3 linked regions of the Schizosaccharomyces pombe genome follow. Changing the gene in region 2 together with the main gene of any one other region gives a genetic interaction. Each region holds a gene or a part of one and is shown on either strand. Other genes may lie near its edges. The genes, in order: atg13, isp6 and atg1.

The links.
Region 1: of isp6 (region 2) and atg13, changing one suppresses a phenotype caused by changing the other (phenotypic suppression), as found in Schizosaccharomyces pombe (one study listed by BioGRID).
Region 3: of isp6 (region 2) and atg1, changing one suppresses a phenotype caused by changing the other (phenotypic suppression), as found in Schizosaccharomyces pombe (one study listed by BioGRID).

What each region holds. Positions count from the first base shown.
Region 1 is NC_003424.3:4,839,782-4,845,713, reverse strand, and holds atg13 (autophagy-associated protein kinase regulatory subunit Atg13), read left to right. Parts: upstream 1-2,110; 5' UTR 2,111-2,269; coding exon 2,270-2,404; intron 2,405-2,482; coding exon 2,483-2,578; intron 2,579-2,822; coding exon 2,823-4,868; 3' UTR 4,869-5,229; downstream 5,230-5,932. Other genes in the region: protein mug126, read right to left, coding at 1-859; BUD22 family ribosome small subunit biogenesis protein, read right to left, coding at 5,434-5,932. UniProt on the Schizosaccharomyces pombe protein: Component of the atg1 kinase complex that activates the atg1 kinase in a nutritional condition dependent manner through the TOR pathway, leading to autophagy.
Region 2 is NC_003424.3:2,542,588-2,547,658, forward strand, and holds isp6 (vacuolar serine protease Isp6), read left to right. Parts: upstream 1-2,254; 5' UTR 2,255-2,762; coding exon 2,763-4,166; 3' UTR 4,167-4,394; downstream 4,395-5,071. Other genes in the region: Myo3-like myosin II heavy chain myp2, read right to left, coding at 4,764-5,071.
Region 3 is NC_003421.2:849,107-854,709, reverse strand, and holds atg1 (autophagy serine/threonine protein kinase Atg1), read left to right. Parts: upstream 1-2,027; 5' UTR 2,028-2,105; coding exon 2,106-2,207; intron 2,208-2,269; coding exon 2,270-4,660; 3' UTR 4,661-4,877; downstream 4,878-5,603. Other genes in the region: dolichol kinase Sec59, read left to right, coding at 1-59; thg1 (tRNA guanylyltransferase), read right to left, coding at 5,081-5,224, 5,278-5,382, 5,479-5,603. UniProt on the Schizosaccharomyces pombe protein: Serine/threonine protein kinase involved in the cytoplasm to vacuole transport (Cvt) and found to be essential in autophagy, where it is required for the formation of autophagosomes.

The sequences.
Region 1 (5,932 bases), 2.3 Mb from region 2:
AATCAAGAAAGGCTAGCAAGTAGACTCCGTATCCAAGTAAGGAAATGACAAATATTTTTGAACGGCGTGTCTGAGGTTTTGAGTTGCTGTTTGTGATTGTCGCCTGATTTCTATTTCGAAGATTATAATGTTCCTGTTGAGTAGTCTTCGGTTTTTGCTTGTCATCTTGAGTTTCCTGTCGATCAAATGATGATTCCTCTTGATTGCTCGAAGTCTCCTGTTGATTAGCTTGTGGTTCCTGGGGTACAGCTTTTTGACCAGCCTGTGGCTCCTGTTGGGTGACCTTTGAATAAGCTTGAGGGTTTTCTTGAACAGTCTCCAATTTTTTCCCAGCATTCTGAAGCTCCTCCTCTTGAACTGTCGAAGTTTTCTTTTTGTCCGTTTGTGATTCCCCTTGAGTAATGAAAGCTTCATATTGAGAGTCTAATTGAGGATTTCGAGGATCCTCCTGGTCAGTTGGAAAGTTCGCTTGACCAGTGTGAGATTCCTGTTGATCACTTTCAAAGCTTTGCATTCTTCCCATTTCAATTGAATCAATTCCCATCTCCAGGTCGCATGGTTTTTCTTTTGACTTTGTAAGAATGAATGATTTGATTACTTCCTTCAAGTTATACATTCTATGTCTCTGTTCATGCTTCACAAGTGGACTTGACGATCTAGAAGATCTATTCTGTTCATCTTCATTTTCGTCATTGACATTTTCCGGACACGGATCCTCTAGTAAGGTCTTCTGAATATTTCCAGATTCTGAACCATCTTCCTCCATTTCTTCTTGCACGTTGAAAATGGTTTCATTTTCCAAAACGTAAAAAGACGACAATGATGTTGATGATGTATTCTCGTTAAGCATTTCTCCCATTTCTTCAACTTATCTCTATCTTATTAATTATTGTTAATATTGAAGCAGTAAATCTGTTTTCAACAGTCAGATAATTTATAATTGGGGAACCGAAAAATGAAGACTTCTAAATAAAAACAAATAGCAGCAGTACAATTAAAGCCAAGCGATTATATTGGATTTCTAAAAAAAATAGAAACACCTTGTAACCAACAAATTTGAAACTTCAAAAAGTAGTATTTTAATCTTGGTGATTTGGAATGTAAAGAATATATAACATTTTGACAATTGATGATGAAAACATCGCAGCATCATGACTTATGGCATCTGCAATTTAATAGCAAAAACAAAAATTAATTAAAGTCTCGTTTCTTTATGACTCCTTATATCGTTGGTAAACCAGAGTACGAAATTCAAGGTATTTTAGTACTACCACATAATTTAATTCCTTTTTTTTTTTAAAAACGAAAAGGGCTGAGCAAACCTAAGCTTGCAAAACTTAGTACTGCCAAAAAAATGAGCATTTTATTAAAACTAAGAGCTCTTAGAAGTCAGTAATATCCTTTTAACTTCGGGTTAAAATCATGACCATTACCTTTAACATCAGTTGCATCGCTTCAAACATGATAATACTGAGGGTTTTACATTTAACTTTCACAAAAGTGATAGAGAATGCATCCTAAATCAATAAGCTAGTGCTTGTAAATGATTTTAATTAGTTAATAATTACCGTACACTCAGCCAACATAAATCGACATTATTGTTTGTTTTCCATAAGCGATGTTTGTGTATTTGGGTTTTAAAATAGCGAATATTTAGCGGCTGTCAACAAACATTTCCTACATTTAGCAATACATTACGTATCATCATTTGTTGTGCAATAAAAAAAAACGGTTAATATCCATTTATTGACAATTTTCGAAAATTGTATGTTTATGTCCGAAGTTTTTTCGGATTAAGGGAATCATAAATCAAATAAAACTCAGATTACTTAATTACTTGTTGTAGGTTATGCTCCATTTATTGTGAATTTAAATTGTTCCCTTCAACAAGACTACTTGCAGCACTGTTGCACATAATCCCTTTATATTCCAAAATAATAGCTCACAAAACAAGATTCACCGCAGTTTAAAGAGCCTTTAAATATAGCTACCATTTGTCTTATAACGTGATCGAAAGAAATCGTATTTAACGCAACGCTAATATTTACCGTGCTTCGTTGGAGCATGGCATCTGTAGTATCTTTTGCCGCTTACTACAATACTCTGCCTTACCAAATACGAACTGCAAAACCAAATTCATTCAATTAGGAAAACTAATTAAAAACTGCTTTATCAATTTAAAGAATGAGCTAACAATCAAATTGTTACATTAAAAAATTAATAATTTATACTTTGAAGTTGCAATTGAATTAATGGAAACCACATTGATATGCCGAGACTTAATACGCAGCTTCCTCGAATGTATTCTGCTCCCCCTGGGCATAGTAAAGCAGTTTCAACTGAGTTAAATAAAGATCTATCATCAGTGGGTGGTAGGAGCGCTAAGCTGGGCCAAGTCATTCACGTAAGTTAAAGTGTGTATCATAAGCTTGCTTGAGGTCCACCCATCCTTTACTTGAAAAGTATTAACATTTACAAATAGCATTGTTTTTATAAAACCGGATTAATAATTTTGGAATCCAGACTAAATGTATTTGGGACCTCTCGTCCTCGAGAAAGTTCTAAGAATAACAAATGGGTATGTATTTTTGTTTTTCTACAATGACGAGTATCGGTGTTATGCGCTTTATTCATACAGTGGTTTTCAAAAAACTCAAGATTATTTATCAATTACTTATCAGTTTACGTTCATCTCGTGCGTCTGCATAGAGTTTCATTTTTAAGCTACAGGTGAATAAGTTGATCACTGTACTATTGATGTATAAATGTGGAATTACAAATAATTAAAAAATTCATATTTGCACTTAATTAACAAAATGTAGTTCAATTTGGAAATTGTTGAAACTGAGCTTTATGCCGAGCAATTCAAAATTTGGAAGAATATTGAACTTTCTCCTTCACGAAAAATACCTCCAATGGTTTTGCACACATATTTAGATATATCTGATTTATCAAAAAATCAAACCCTTTCTGTTTCCGATGGTACTCATTCTCACGCAATCAACTTTAATAATATGTCGACAATGAAAATCGTACTTGAAAGATGGATTGTGAATTTAGATGGCGAAGCCTTATCAACCCCTCTGGAGTTGGCTGTTTTGTACAAAAAGTTAGTTGTTTTATTTCGTTCCCTCTACACTTATACCCATCTTATGCCTCTGTGGAAATTGAAGTCGAAAATACACAAATTAAGAGCTCATGGTACATCTTTAAAAGTTGGCTGTGCCCTCTCTACGGATGATGTTTTATCGAATGATTTCCTTCCTATAAGTGCTCCAATTTCATCCTCGCTCGGAAGCAGTATTGCAACTTTCTCTTTCAGCCCTGTTGGTACACCAGCTGGAGATTTTCGCATATCTGTTCAGTATCGTAAAAATTGTCATTTTGAGGTTCATGATTCTGATGCGTTACTCTCTAACCAGTTGTTATCTGCAGACAAGCATCAACTTGCTGCTTCGAACAATTCTCAAGATTTTGAAGATGGCAAACAGTATGATCAACCACCTCCTTCTTTTGCAACGCGGTTAGCTAAGCAGTCGGATCCGAATTCTCTTTTACAATCTGAAATCCAACATTTAGCTAGCATTGAGTCTATAACAGCTCAAGCAGCTCCTCTTGTTACTATACATCCTTTCAAATCTCCGTCATTATCTGCTTCCCCAGGGTCAAATTTTGACAATATGTCAATTTCTCCGAAGGTTGCAGTCAATCGTTATATACATCGCGGACCATCAGCCACCTCTTTAAATAAATTTTCAATGATTTCTGATGCTGCAAGCAAATCAAGAGCAAAATTGCCACCTCTTACATCTGGAAGTCTTAAGCTTAACACACTTGACATTTCCAATACCCCGAATCTTCGACGATTTAGCAGTAGTTTCGGTCCCCGCGAGCGTAAAGAAAGCTTTAGCTCTCGTAATCGTTTACCGCTAGTCAATCATCCTATTCGTAGCATTTTCAAACATAACGTCTCAGAGAATCCTATAACAGATCATTCTGAGCATGCTGTTTATGATAGTGAATTTGCATCAAAGGATGATCTTAGCGGTTTTATTCAACTATTAGATAGTCATGCACATCATTTAAATGCTTCGGAAGGTAGCAAATCAAGTGGTTCATTTCCAGGGAAGGTACAAACTTTGACATCTGGAATTTCGCCAGTTGCTCACCCTCATAATTCCTTGGGTAGTAGCAATGAAATTTTTGACATCGATACCTATAATCATTCAATTGATAATAGCGGATCCCGTTTTACTGAGGCTGTGAAGCATAATCTTGGAAATTCTAGCCATAGCATCATGCGCCATCACACTTTAGGTACGCTGCGATCTCGGCCTTCCTTCTCTGAAAAATCTACCTTCCCTGCTCCCCTGACATCCATTTCACAAGCTTCCACGTTCCAAGGAGATAACCGGTCTCCAAGCACTGTTATTCCTCATACTCAAACTGAAGTACCATCAGCAAACGATACTTCAAAGCAACTAGCATCTCTTCACGATATGCGGAAAAGTCAATCACCAATTTGTGCTAGATCGGCTACTTCTGCTGGACTTCCGCGTTTCGAATATCACACCAGCTTATCCAAATCACTGGAACATTCATCAACGCCAGCAAGCCTACAAGCAACAAAGACGCCCAGCCCTTCTTTTGTACTTGAGCCGGGAATCCCACAAGAGTACAAAAAGCACTTTGATAATCTTTCTGAAGAACGACGTCAATGTCTTACTCCTTCAACACCTACTTACGAATATTACAATGAGCATAACCCCAATTATGATGATGATTTATTGTTCACAATGACTGATATGACTCTTGAACCCCATGATGTTTCAGCTATTAGGCTTGGTTCTCCCAAATCCGATGATTAAGCGAAGCCTATGTTTAGAATTTGGAGTGATATAGCATCCATTTAATGCACTCAACCATTCTTGTTTTCTTTTAATTTTTTAATAGTTTTTTTCAGCTGCATTATAGCTTCAATTAAGCTTCGTTCCATACAAGTGAATTTCGCAATATTCGCCTCAATTCATGAGCTTTGGGCAGCGATTGAAAATACTCATAATGTCTGACTGTACTTTTCACATTTACCATGATTAGTATCTACATATACTGTTTATCTAGCTAGTGTAGGTATTAATTGAAATTGTAATTTAGTTTCTAATAATTTAAAAAATCACAGTTATTGAAAATTTAAATTTACTAGTTAGCAACAGAAACATCATGAATAATAGTAATTTGTTAGCTCTGTTTATTCTGTGTATAAAATATTAGCAACGTATACAGTTTCAAGATATTAATACAATCTTCTAGCTGCGATTTGAGCAATGTAAAACGCTATGATGTTTTACCATTGTTTTGAAAAAAAGAGGATGTTTCTTACTTCCTGAATATCGAAAAAAAGCACTACTATTTTATAAATTGGAATGTTTAAGATTAGTCAAAAACTATTTTTTTACCCTGGAATGCTGCACTAGAAGGCATTTTTTGTTTCCTTTTAGCCTCCCAAGAGGGATGCAGTTGCTCTGGTTTTTGAGGTGTTTGGTGCTCCGTAAAAGCATTTTCACGAGCAGCACGTTTAGCTTGCCTTTCTTCATACTTTCTCTGTCTTTCTTCACGAATACTCCTTTCTTCAGTCGCTTTTTTTATCAAATGGTTAGCACCTTTACCATACTTTTTTTCCCAAATAGCTTGTCTAGCTCTTTGACCACGACGATTTTTACGCTTCGGGATATCTACTTCTTCTAACTCCTTTTCGACAAATTCATCATCACTTTCGACTGGATCTAAGAAGCCCGCTGTAAGGGCAGGCAGATTAGTATTGTTATGTTTGCCCAGAGGAATTTCCAACATCTCATCATCAATTATAGACTTCCTGTTTATTAAAGTAGCATTTTGAAGAGATGATTCTTTTACACCTTCATTTTTCATAGAA
Region 2 (5,071 bases):
TTTCCTACAGATATTGAAGCTTCCAGACGCTTTGCTTGAAAGCCGAGGTAAATTTCCAGTTTAAGGCTAACTCGAAATACCAAATAACAGGGGATTTTAAAAAGAGTTCAGCATACACCAACAAGGAGAAAGTCTTACACGATTCTATACAAGCGGTGTAAAGCATATAGTGTGTTAAAACGAACCCTGTAATACTATGCAAACAAATGCGTTAAAGCACGATAAAAGAAGTTAAGGAAGATATGTAATGAAAGGAAGGCTGTGAGCATTGTAGGGATAGTTCGTTTGATGAGCATGTCTTTATTTCATTTTCGTTAATATTTCAATTTTTTTTGGTTGGTTTGAGGGGGTGGATTCTACCAACCACTTTCATTTTTCCTATCCAAATATGTTTTTTACTTTTCTATCTTATTTTTTCACTATAGCACATTAGCACTCTAGATTATATTGCTTTGTTAGAGCAAAACAGATGGAGTATATAGCTTATCGACGACAATTCAATTCAATTCAATCCAACCATCAGAGAAATCTGACTATGTTACTCTTTAGTTTATTCCTAATAAGCGCTGCTTGAATAAAGTGATAAGTGCAACAGCTCCGATGATGGCAAGATATTTAGCGATTAGAGATTGTTTCGTTTCCAAAGTACCAAGTACTTATAACGAAATATATACAAAAGCTCCCAAATTCAAAATTGCTGGGTGTACGGCGCCACCAAAATACAGAACCGTCATTCATTTGTTCCAATATAACGCCATTGTTCTCTGTATTGTTTGCTAATTGTTTCAACTTGTTGAACTATTAGTGATGGTCTAGTCCAAACGACACCTGGAATGAGAGCGCATTGATGAAAGAGCTTCAACACAGCGCCCAATCTCTCTTACTGTGGGAATCTCAAACATTGTCAATGTTGTCACATGTTGTTTGTTCGTATACAAAGAAATGCAAATGCCATCCACGCATTCTGTTCATCATTAAAACTCTTTGATTAAATCCCTTGTACTGCATTAAATTTCATGGCTGCATAGAAGAAAAGTTACATAGGAAAGAGCCAGCGATTGCTACGAATACTCGCTCGATCTCACTCCACAGGCTGTTTCTTTAACAATTTATATAAGAATATACAAATAAGTAAAGTTTCATAGAAAAGAAGAAATGGATTTTATAGTGAAAATGGGGAATTTTAAAGTCCCTCATTGCTTCATCTAGCAACTCTTTCTTATATACAATAACCGAAATACGATGCATCGGTAATTAACTGTTTACGCACACACAATCTCTCAATCTTCTCTCCTCTAAAATAAATGTCTCCAACCAATTTGTTGATAAAGATAGAATGGCTGTTGTAATGTAGCAAACACTTATCAGGGGATGGATGGATGGATGGATGTTTTTCATCAAGCACTTGTTTACATGAGTGGGCGTTAGCTGAACACCGAGAGTCATGTTCATTCAATTGTGCTAGTGTTTTATAATTTATTTGTTTTCGTTTCAGTTTACTGTTTGTGTAGAATGAATACTAGTCATGAAAGGAAAGAATAAACCTTTCTGAAAATGAAATGACATTGAGTGCATATTGTTGAATATGGATATGCTGTTGCTTCCATACATTTGGAAATTTTGCAAACCTCTTTTTTTATGTATGTCCCGATCAATGTGTGTATCCGTGGATTACCAAGTTATCAGTGAATCGGCTTCCGTTCCTCCATATCTTTGAATTGCTCTTTTTTCTGCCCTAAGCAGCGCAATGCGCATGAAGCGTTATCATTCAATGTACCGAACAGAGTGGCAGTTGAGTGGCCCTTACCAATCCGGCCTTTCAAAGTTTATCTAAGAACCACTTGTTTGAGCTTATCGACCAATCACAGGCAATGGATCACCGTTCCTCCACTAACCACCTCGTATCGCTAGATTAGAGGGGTGACGTCAAGTGAACATATCGTGACTCGTTAAGTCAGCCAAGTAACGAATTGCGAAAGGGAGGGCGCGCTTGAGAAAGTGCTAATACAGCGATGCATGCAGAACAGTGGCATTTGACGAATAATCAAGGGAGAAAGCAGAGAAGTAAATGAACAGAATTTTTTTAAAAAAAATTATATTACAATTGAATTGAATGGATTTGGAATTGAGTTTTGCCTGCTTTTTTACGGAATCTCTGCTTCTATCTGTCCAAACTCCCTTTGTTGATGTTCGAGGGTTAGGGTACGGGTGGTGGATAGACTATATAAACGAAAGAGGTAGCCCCCATTGAGTCGTGTATCAGTACGCTCCTCGTTACAAAGTCAAACGTCTTAGAACAAGTTGCATTGGAATTGAATTTACCAGTGCCACTAGTTTTGATTTTGTTTCATTCACAGTCGTTTTTTTTCGCTTTGTGTTTTTCATTTGCTTGCAATTTTTTATTTTATTAAAGTAATTGTTAGAGAATTATTATAGTTTCTTTCTCCCTTTCTTTATAATAACTCTTAATCCCATTGTTCGCCCATATACTACTTACTATAGTTTGTATATAGCCCACAATTCTTTTTTTTTTTCTTTTATTCATCTCTCTCGATTTCTTCCTATCTGAACTTGGGATAGATAGTTAGTTTTTCAATAGTCTTTGTCATCTGTTTTCCTTGTCTTTCTTTCATAAGTAAACACGGAACAACGATACTTGCCTACTGTTCAGCAATCTCAGCAATTTAACCGCCTTCAATCACTACCCCAACCACAATCACAATCACTTCCCCCTCCAACAGCCTCGTCTTCTCAGCATCAACATGAGAATTCCTTATTCAAATCTTTTTTCTGCCGCCGCAGGTTTGGCCCTCTTCGCTTCTACTGCCTGTGCTGCACCAGTGATGCCAGCGACTGATTCGGACATTGCCCATGCTGGTATCCGTCCTGAGCTCGATAACGCTTTCTACGACTCCCACGGCGAAGCCGCTACCCCTAAGCACAAACCTCATGCTGGTCCTAATGCCGCTCCTCTCTTGTCTGCTTCCAACGCCGATACCACTGGACTGGACTCTCACTATATCATTGTTTTGCAGCCTGATTTGAGCGAACAAGAATTCCAAGCCCATACTAATTGGGTCTCGGAGATGCACCAAATGGACATTGCTTCTCAAGAAGATGAGTACTACGATACTAGTGATAGTAATTACATGTTTGGCTTGAAGCATGTTTATGACTTTGGCGAGGACTCTTTCAAAGGTTATTCTGGTCAATTCAGCTCTAACATTGTTGAGCAAATTCGCTTGCATCCTCATGTCATCGCCGTCGAGCGTGATCAAGTTGTCAGCATTAAGAAACTTGAAACTCAAAGTGGCGCTCCTTGGGGACTTGCTCGCATCTCTCACAAATCCGTCAAATACGATGATATTGGCAAATATGTTTACGATTCCAGCGCTGGTGACAACATCACCGCTTATGTTGTAGATACCGGTGTAAGCATTCATCATGTTGAGTTCGAAGGTCGCGCTTCTTGGGGTGCAACCATTCCCTCTGGTGATGTTGATGAGGATAACAATGGTCATGGTACGCATGTTGCTGGTACCATTGCTAGCCGTGCTTATGGTGTTGCAAAGAAGGCTGAAATCGTTGCTGTCAAGGTTCTCCGTTCCAGTGGATCTGGTACCATGGCTGATGTGATTGCCGGTGTTGAGTGGACTGTTCGTCATCACAAATCGTCCGGCAAGAAAACCTCTGTTGGCAACATGTCTCTTGGTGGCGGCAACAGCTTTGTTTTGGATATGGCTGTTGATTCTGCCGTTACCAACGGTGTTATTTATGCCGTTGCTGCTGGAAATGAGTATGATGACGCTTGCTATTCATCTCCTGCTGCTTCTAAGAAAGCCATCACCGTTGGCGCTTCCACTATAAACGACCAAATGGCCTACTTCTCTAACTATGGTAGCTGTGTTGACATCTTCGCTCCTGGACTTAACATTTTGTCTACATGGATCGGTTCAAATACTAGTACTAACACCATCTCTGGTACTTCTATGGCAACCCCTCATGTTGCAGGTTTGTCCGCTTACTACCTTGGCCTACACCCTGCTGCCAGCGCTAGCGAAGTTAAAGATGCTATCATTAAGATGGGTATTCACGATGTACTCTTGTCTATTCCTGTTGGTAGCAGCACTATTAACCTTCTCGCTTTCAATGGTGCTCAAGAATAGATTTTACTTCATGTTGGATGCATTCGATGTTTTCAATAAGTCGGTGTTTGATTTTCAATACATCGAGTAATTGTTTTATTTTTTTGAAAACGTTTGCTCCTTTTATGATTGTTCTTTACAAACAGTTTATAATGATTGTTATGACAATAAATATTTTATAATGCAAGCCACTGAATCACGTTTAGAATTTTTATACTTGAATGAAATTTTTTTGTGATGTTCTTCCAACTTACAATGTTAAAGTGTAATTGTAAATGTCCTCTTCTTTTATTTGTATTTGTATTTATATTTGTGCCGCTGTTATGCAAGAGCTCTTCTACATTTAATATCGCCGCCTATCTCTTCATAGTTTTCTTTTACAATGTGATTGCTGCATATAACCATTGTACAAATAATAGGGGTAAAATAAAAAGTAAACCGAACTAAAATGCCTTTTACTTGACCGACTTACTTTTTTTTTTGAACTAAAGTATCCTTGTGGTTACTTGTTACGTTGACGCAGAGCATAATAATAGTAATAATAAAATAATTTTAAATTCATGAACTAATAATTTACATCATCTTAAAAAATACATGTCGAGTCTTTGGGAAGCTTGGCTACCTTAGAACGCTAGGCGAACGATTGGACCTCATGGATAATCTACTTTCACTTCTCTTTACTCTTTGACCCTCCAGCAAAGATCTATATTTATCAAAATCGGTTTCCAAACTTTTGACGCGTTCACGCTCTTCTTGAAGAGCATGTTCCGTCCGACGTAGTGCAAATTTCCATTGTGTTTCTGAAGCTTGCACATCTTCTAATTGATTTCTCAGTTGCGCATTTCTTTCCTCCAAACGAGAAACTGAGCTCTGTATTCTCTTTTTATCATCATCAAATTTTGATATTTGAGCTTCCAGTTGACGGA
Region 3 (5,603 bases), on a different chromosome or scaffold from region 2:
AGAATGACAATCTCATACTTCCAATGTACATGTGGGTATTGTATCAAGCCTTGGATTAAGAATGTTTAATTCCATAAAATATTTTGCAACATCAAAGTAAAATATCTCATAACTCTGATGCTTTGCAAATGACAAACAAAAGAAAAATACATATATGTGCTTATATATGAAAAAATAAACCAAAGATGTAATTCTTTGCATATTCTCTTTGTTACTAATTCGACGTAAATAGATTTCCTTTAATAAAATAAAAAGAAAAATTTTACGTATTGCCAGGCCTATCATTAAATCATAATCACCTTAACAACAGCATCCACTGAGAATACTGTTTACAAAAAACCAACGTGAGCAAAAAAAAGATGGCAGATGTGACTATGAAACGAATAAAACTAAAACGGACTATAAATTTCGGTAAAAATGATATTACAAAATATATGTATATATAGTTTTGCTATTCAATCAGTCATATATTTAAAGGTAATTGACTATTACAGTTCGCATATTTAGGAAGATCAAAATATTCATTTATTGAGAAATGTATAACAACGAGTATCTGAGCGGATATCGTGGCACAATTTTAAGTAGAATAGGTTGCTTCGAAACGAACAGTATATTATTTTTGCTTGCTTAAAATTAATTAAACAGTGTACGACTCGGAGCATAAGCATTTTAATTCCATTTATTAATTTTCCAAATTTCCTAGAAAATAATAGATTAAAAAAAAATTCATTAATTTATTTATTGCTACAAAATCAAAATTTTGATTAACTTATTATTTTTACTTTATTTTTTTTTATTTTTTGTTTCAAACTTCATTGCAGTATTATTGGCAACAAGCACTTATATTCAGTTTCAAAACTTTTTTTATTTTATATTCTCGAATTAATTTATTTATTTTATTATCACGCAAATACAAAATTAAACTATTCATGGTGAGAAGGTGAATTTTTTATAACGTTGCTTGTTTTCAGTAGCGTTTTCGCTAATGTTGACTTTAAAGTCTGTTTTAGAAATTTGGATTCCACAACCAATCTCGTATATATCAATAAAGAGAAAAGCAACATATTATGATTGGAAATTTTCTTTTAATTTTCTGCAAGAGAGTTCTTACCTTCCATTATGGTCTTCAAGTCCTCAGGGCATGTTTGAATACTAGTCATTGCCCAATTCCCTGTTTTGTAGTATTATATACATGCGTTTGAGCCAAAACTCACACTGCATAAAAAAAATGATATTCTTTTCTTCAACCATAAATATTATTATTTAACACAACAAATGTCTACGGCCATACCTAGGCGAAAACACCAGTTCCCGTCCGATCACTGCAGTTAAGCGTCTGAGGGCCTCGTTAGTACTATGGTTGGAGACAACATGGGAATCCGGGGTGCTGTAGGCTCCTTCTTTTCTTTTTTTTTTGTCTTTTAAATCCAGTTTACTTTTTTTTTTTATATTATTTCTATATGGCATGAAACTGGTACAGTGGTACAAGTTGTACATCTGCCGCCGGTTTTTTATCCAAATTTACCCTCTATTTACACTTGCATTTTCATCTGCCTCGATCACTCTATCCATGACAATCGCCTTTTCCAACTAATTTGCCTTTTCGCGGGTATCTACGCTTCGTCTGGAGTATTATCTACTTCCGTTCTTATCCTCTAATTCCACACACACTTGCTTTCCGTACTCAAATCGGTAACTGACATGGCAAAAATTAACACATTTATTTCGTCTTAACCCACTTTCGGCATTTTTCAGCTGCACAAAAAGGGAACAATTTCAAAGAATTTAGACACTACCAGCAGGTATATGTGTGTAAAATATTATAATTCATTGAGTTAATACAATTTCCTCTATAAACTCGCATTCTATTCATAGTGCTTACTCCCATAAAACTTGTTATCCCGAAACCATATCTCCTGTTACCTTTTACAGCCGCACCACGATCGCAATTTATTTTAAGGTATTAAAGCCCAGTGCGGAAAGTGCCTTTTACGCAGCTATATTATCAATGGCGACCCGCTATCCTTGCCAACTCCCATGCTATCAAAGTGAGTATAAAGGCAGCTAAAACCCTTACACCTGTCTTATCGTGAACCAGAAGCTGTATGAACTTACAGACGAGTACAAATCAAACAATTGGTCCCTATGTCATTCGATCGGAAATTGGACGTGGATCTTTCGCAATTGTGTATAAAGGAAAGCACACGGTAAGTAAAAGAAGCAACTGCTTGTCTGTTTCAATGGAATTTGGTGGCTAATCGTGTTGCAGGAAACGAATCGAGTGATCTCTATTAAAAGCGTATTGACAAAGAAGCTTACTAAGAAACTTTTGGAGAATTTAGAAAGTGAAATTTCAATCCTTAAAGAGATCCGTCATGTGCATGTTGTGGAACTGATAGACTGTATTAAGGCTGGGCGGTTCATTCACCTGGTCATGGAGTATTGCTCCCTAGGAGATTTGAGTTATTTTATTCGAAAGCGAGAAAAGTTTAACAGTATTCCCTCCTTAGCCTGGATCAACATCGATCATCCGCCAGTTTACAAGGCTGGATTGAATGAGACGTTGGTTCGGCATTTTACCCAACAACTTGCTTCTGCACTCCAATTTTTACGATCGCGTTCTTTAATTCATCGAGATGTCAAACCCCAAAATCTTCTTTTACAACCACCACCCACCGCTGCCTATCTGGAAGAGCATCCCCAGTTTGTGGGAAGTCCCAAGCTACCAATGCTTAAATTAGCAGACTTTGGTTTTGCACGTTACCTTCAAACGTCTAGTATGGCGGAAACTCTATGTGGCTCTCCGTTGTATATGGCGCCCGAAATACTTCGTTACGAGAAATATGATGCTAAAGCCGATTTGTGGTCAGTAGGTGCTGTGTTATACGAAATGGCTGTTGGAAAGCCTCCCTTCAAGGCCCCAAATCATGTCGAACTTCTTAGGAGGATTCAAAAAGCTAAAGATGTCATCAAGTTTCCTGAAGAAGCTTTCATTCACCCGGACATTAAAACCCTTATCTGTGCTTTGCTGAAGCAAAATCCGGCTGATCGTATCGACTACGACGGTTTCTTTTCCAGTATTGTTGTCACTACTCCATTAGATGACGCATCTACTTTGACCGGTAGCGATATTCAAGATGCGGTTAAGGAAATAAACATTCCATCTTCTAGTCCTGCCTACATAACCGATTTTTTCCCAAAAAGTAATCCTGGCGCTCCTGCTCCTCCAGGCGGTTTGTTGCGTCAAGCTTTCCAAGCTCAGGGGTCTAGTATTCAGCCCTCTGAAATTACCGGTCGAAGGGTGCCTCATCGCTATGCACAAGATGGAAACACTTTACCATACACCCCCGTGTTTCCTCCTGAAAGTGCTCCTGCTGCTAGCATTTTCCCTCCTCGATTAACCTCTAAGCAACCTATACCCATGGCATCTCCTGCTAAGTTGACAAGTGATACTTCGAACAAAAGTAGCGCCTATGTCGTAGTGGACCATCATCCCATAATCTCTTCTACCCAACTTTCCAATGAAAGCCTAACCCACGAGCAATCAATCAATGGTAACTCGCCTTCACCAAACGAAGGTGTTTTTCAAGGTAGTTTCTCTCCTGAAAGCGCTCCTGTAAATAATCATGCGTTTCCCCATACTAGCCGGATGCAAATCCCTTACATGAAACCCAATGCTTTCCCTTCTAATCCTACCTACATTGCTTCAACCCCAGTCACTCAACTACGTCGTGCGTTTGAGCAAGCTACAGCACATGTACCTCAATCTGGAGGTGGTGCGCGAAATAAAAGCGCTCTAGAACGAGCACTAAATGTTGCAAACGCTAGGCTTAATGAAGTTGTAGTGGATGGTATGACAGATAATGGAAACACATCCCTTCCTACAAAAGAAAGCAATTTGGATAACAATGTCAACATTATCCAACCTTCCTTACCTGACACCGGTAAAAGATTGCTTGATGTTTTAGAAAGTATAGCGATGAAATCAAACTCTGTCTACCATCTGGCTGAAGTGAAGCTTGCTCAAATTATTCCTTCTTTGTCTGATGAAATGAAGCCTGGAGATACACTCTTGGATAGACCTTTGACTCCTTTTTCATTGGTTATGTTAGCCAAGGAATCGTATGTACTTTATGAGAGAGACATTGAGCTGTTACAAGTGGCGTTTGACGGTGTTGCTGCTTTTTGGGCCAACTCTGAAGAACGTGCATCTCCTGATTGCCAACAAGCCATTGAATGGTTTCGTCAAAGGTATTCAGAAAGTCTTGAGAAATCCCAATTTTTACGTGAAATTATTATTTCTCAAAGTGCCGCACATTCTTTGCCAACTACCAAACCTGTGTCAGCTTCTCAATTAATTTATCATAGAGCATTGGACCTATCCAGAAATGCAGCCACTAGTGAACTGTCAGGAAATGATGCACAGGCTTGTTTACAAAATTACCGGCTTGCAGCACATTTGTTGGAGTCACTTCTTGAGAGTAATTTTTCGACTCCAGACGGTGCTAACGATTCCAATAATTCAGTAACCATAAGAAATTTGATTGCTTTGATAACGAAAAGGCAAGAACTTTTACAATCGAAACAAATCCAGGCTAATGTAGCCAACAAAGTAACAGAAAGTGTTGCGAAAATAACACTTGCCCCCAATCTTGCTTGAACACCGACGATTTCGCCCTTTTATTGAACAAATTCGCATATTGTATGAGCTGAGCTCTGAGTCTAAATTTTGTTATGAATTCGTTGTTATGACCATATTATTTATATAACTTTTTAATATAGACGTTTTTAATTTTGCTTTTTTTATACATAGGGTTGATAGTCCCGTATATTTAACTCTTATTTATTGAGGTTTATCTCTATTCAAATTTCGTGCATATTATTTTTTTTCTCTTAAATTTTTCAAACAAGTAAAACAGCTATTTAACGTATCAAGGCAAGAATCTAGTACTTTTTTGATTTCCAAAACAAAGATTTGTTTTATACGGCCTAGAGCTGATGACTGCATGAGAGAAACAATTAAACGAGTGATAATGTTTTTGTTCAAACGACCCATAATTTACAAATGTGTGAAAGGAAATTATTGTAACAATACCTCAAGAAATGGCCTTGAAGTCCAAAAGTCATCGTCTATCAGACTTACGTGAAGGATAGATAAAACCATTTTCTTCTTTTGTTTTACGGAGAACTTTTTGTCTTGTTGATGCCATTCTTGATCAATAGGCTAAATTAAATAAGTAAGCAAAAATTAATTTAAACAAAGTTTGTCGAGCATACCTCACGAATCCAAATCGAGCCCTTTTTGTATATCTCTGGTTCAAAATTATAGTTGATGCCGAATTTTGAGAACAAAATTTCATGTTTTTCTGCGCTGACGGTACCCTGTAAAGTAATTCACCCAAAAGGTGAAAGTGGTTAGTTTTTATTGAAAGGAAGATAAATCGCTAGGGTTTACATAAAAAAAAATGAGCTACTTACCTTTAGGTACTCCTCGGCTTGAGTGTTTGTGAAACCTCCTTTGAGTATTAACATCCAGAAGGTAGTATTGTAAAGGTTATTAATATGACAGTCTACTTGTCGCCAATGCAAATAATCTCTTAATA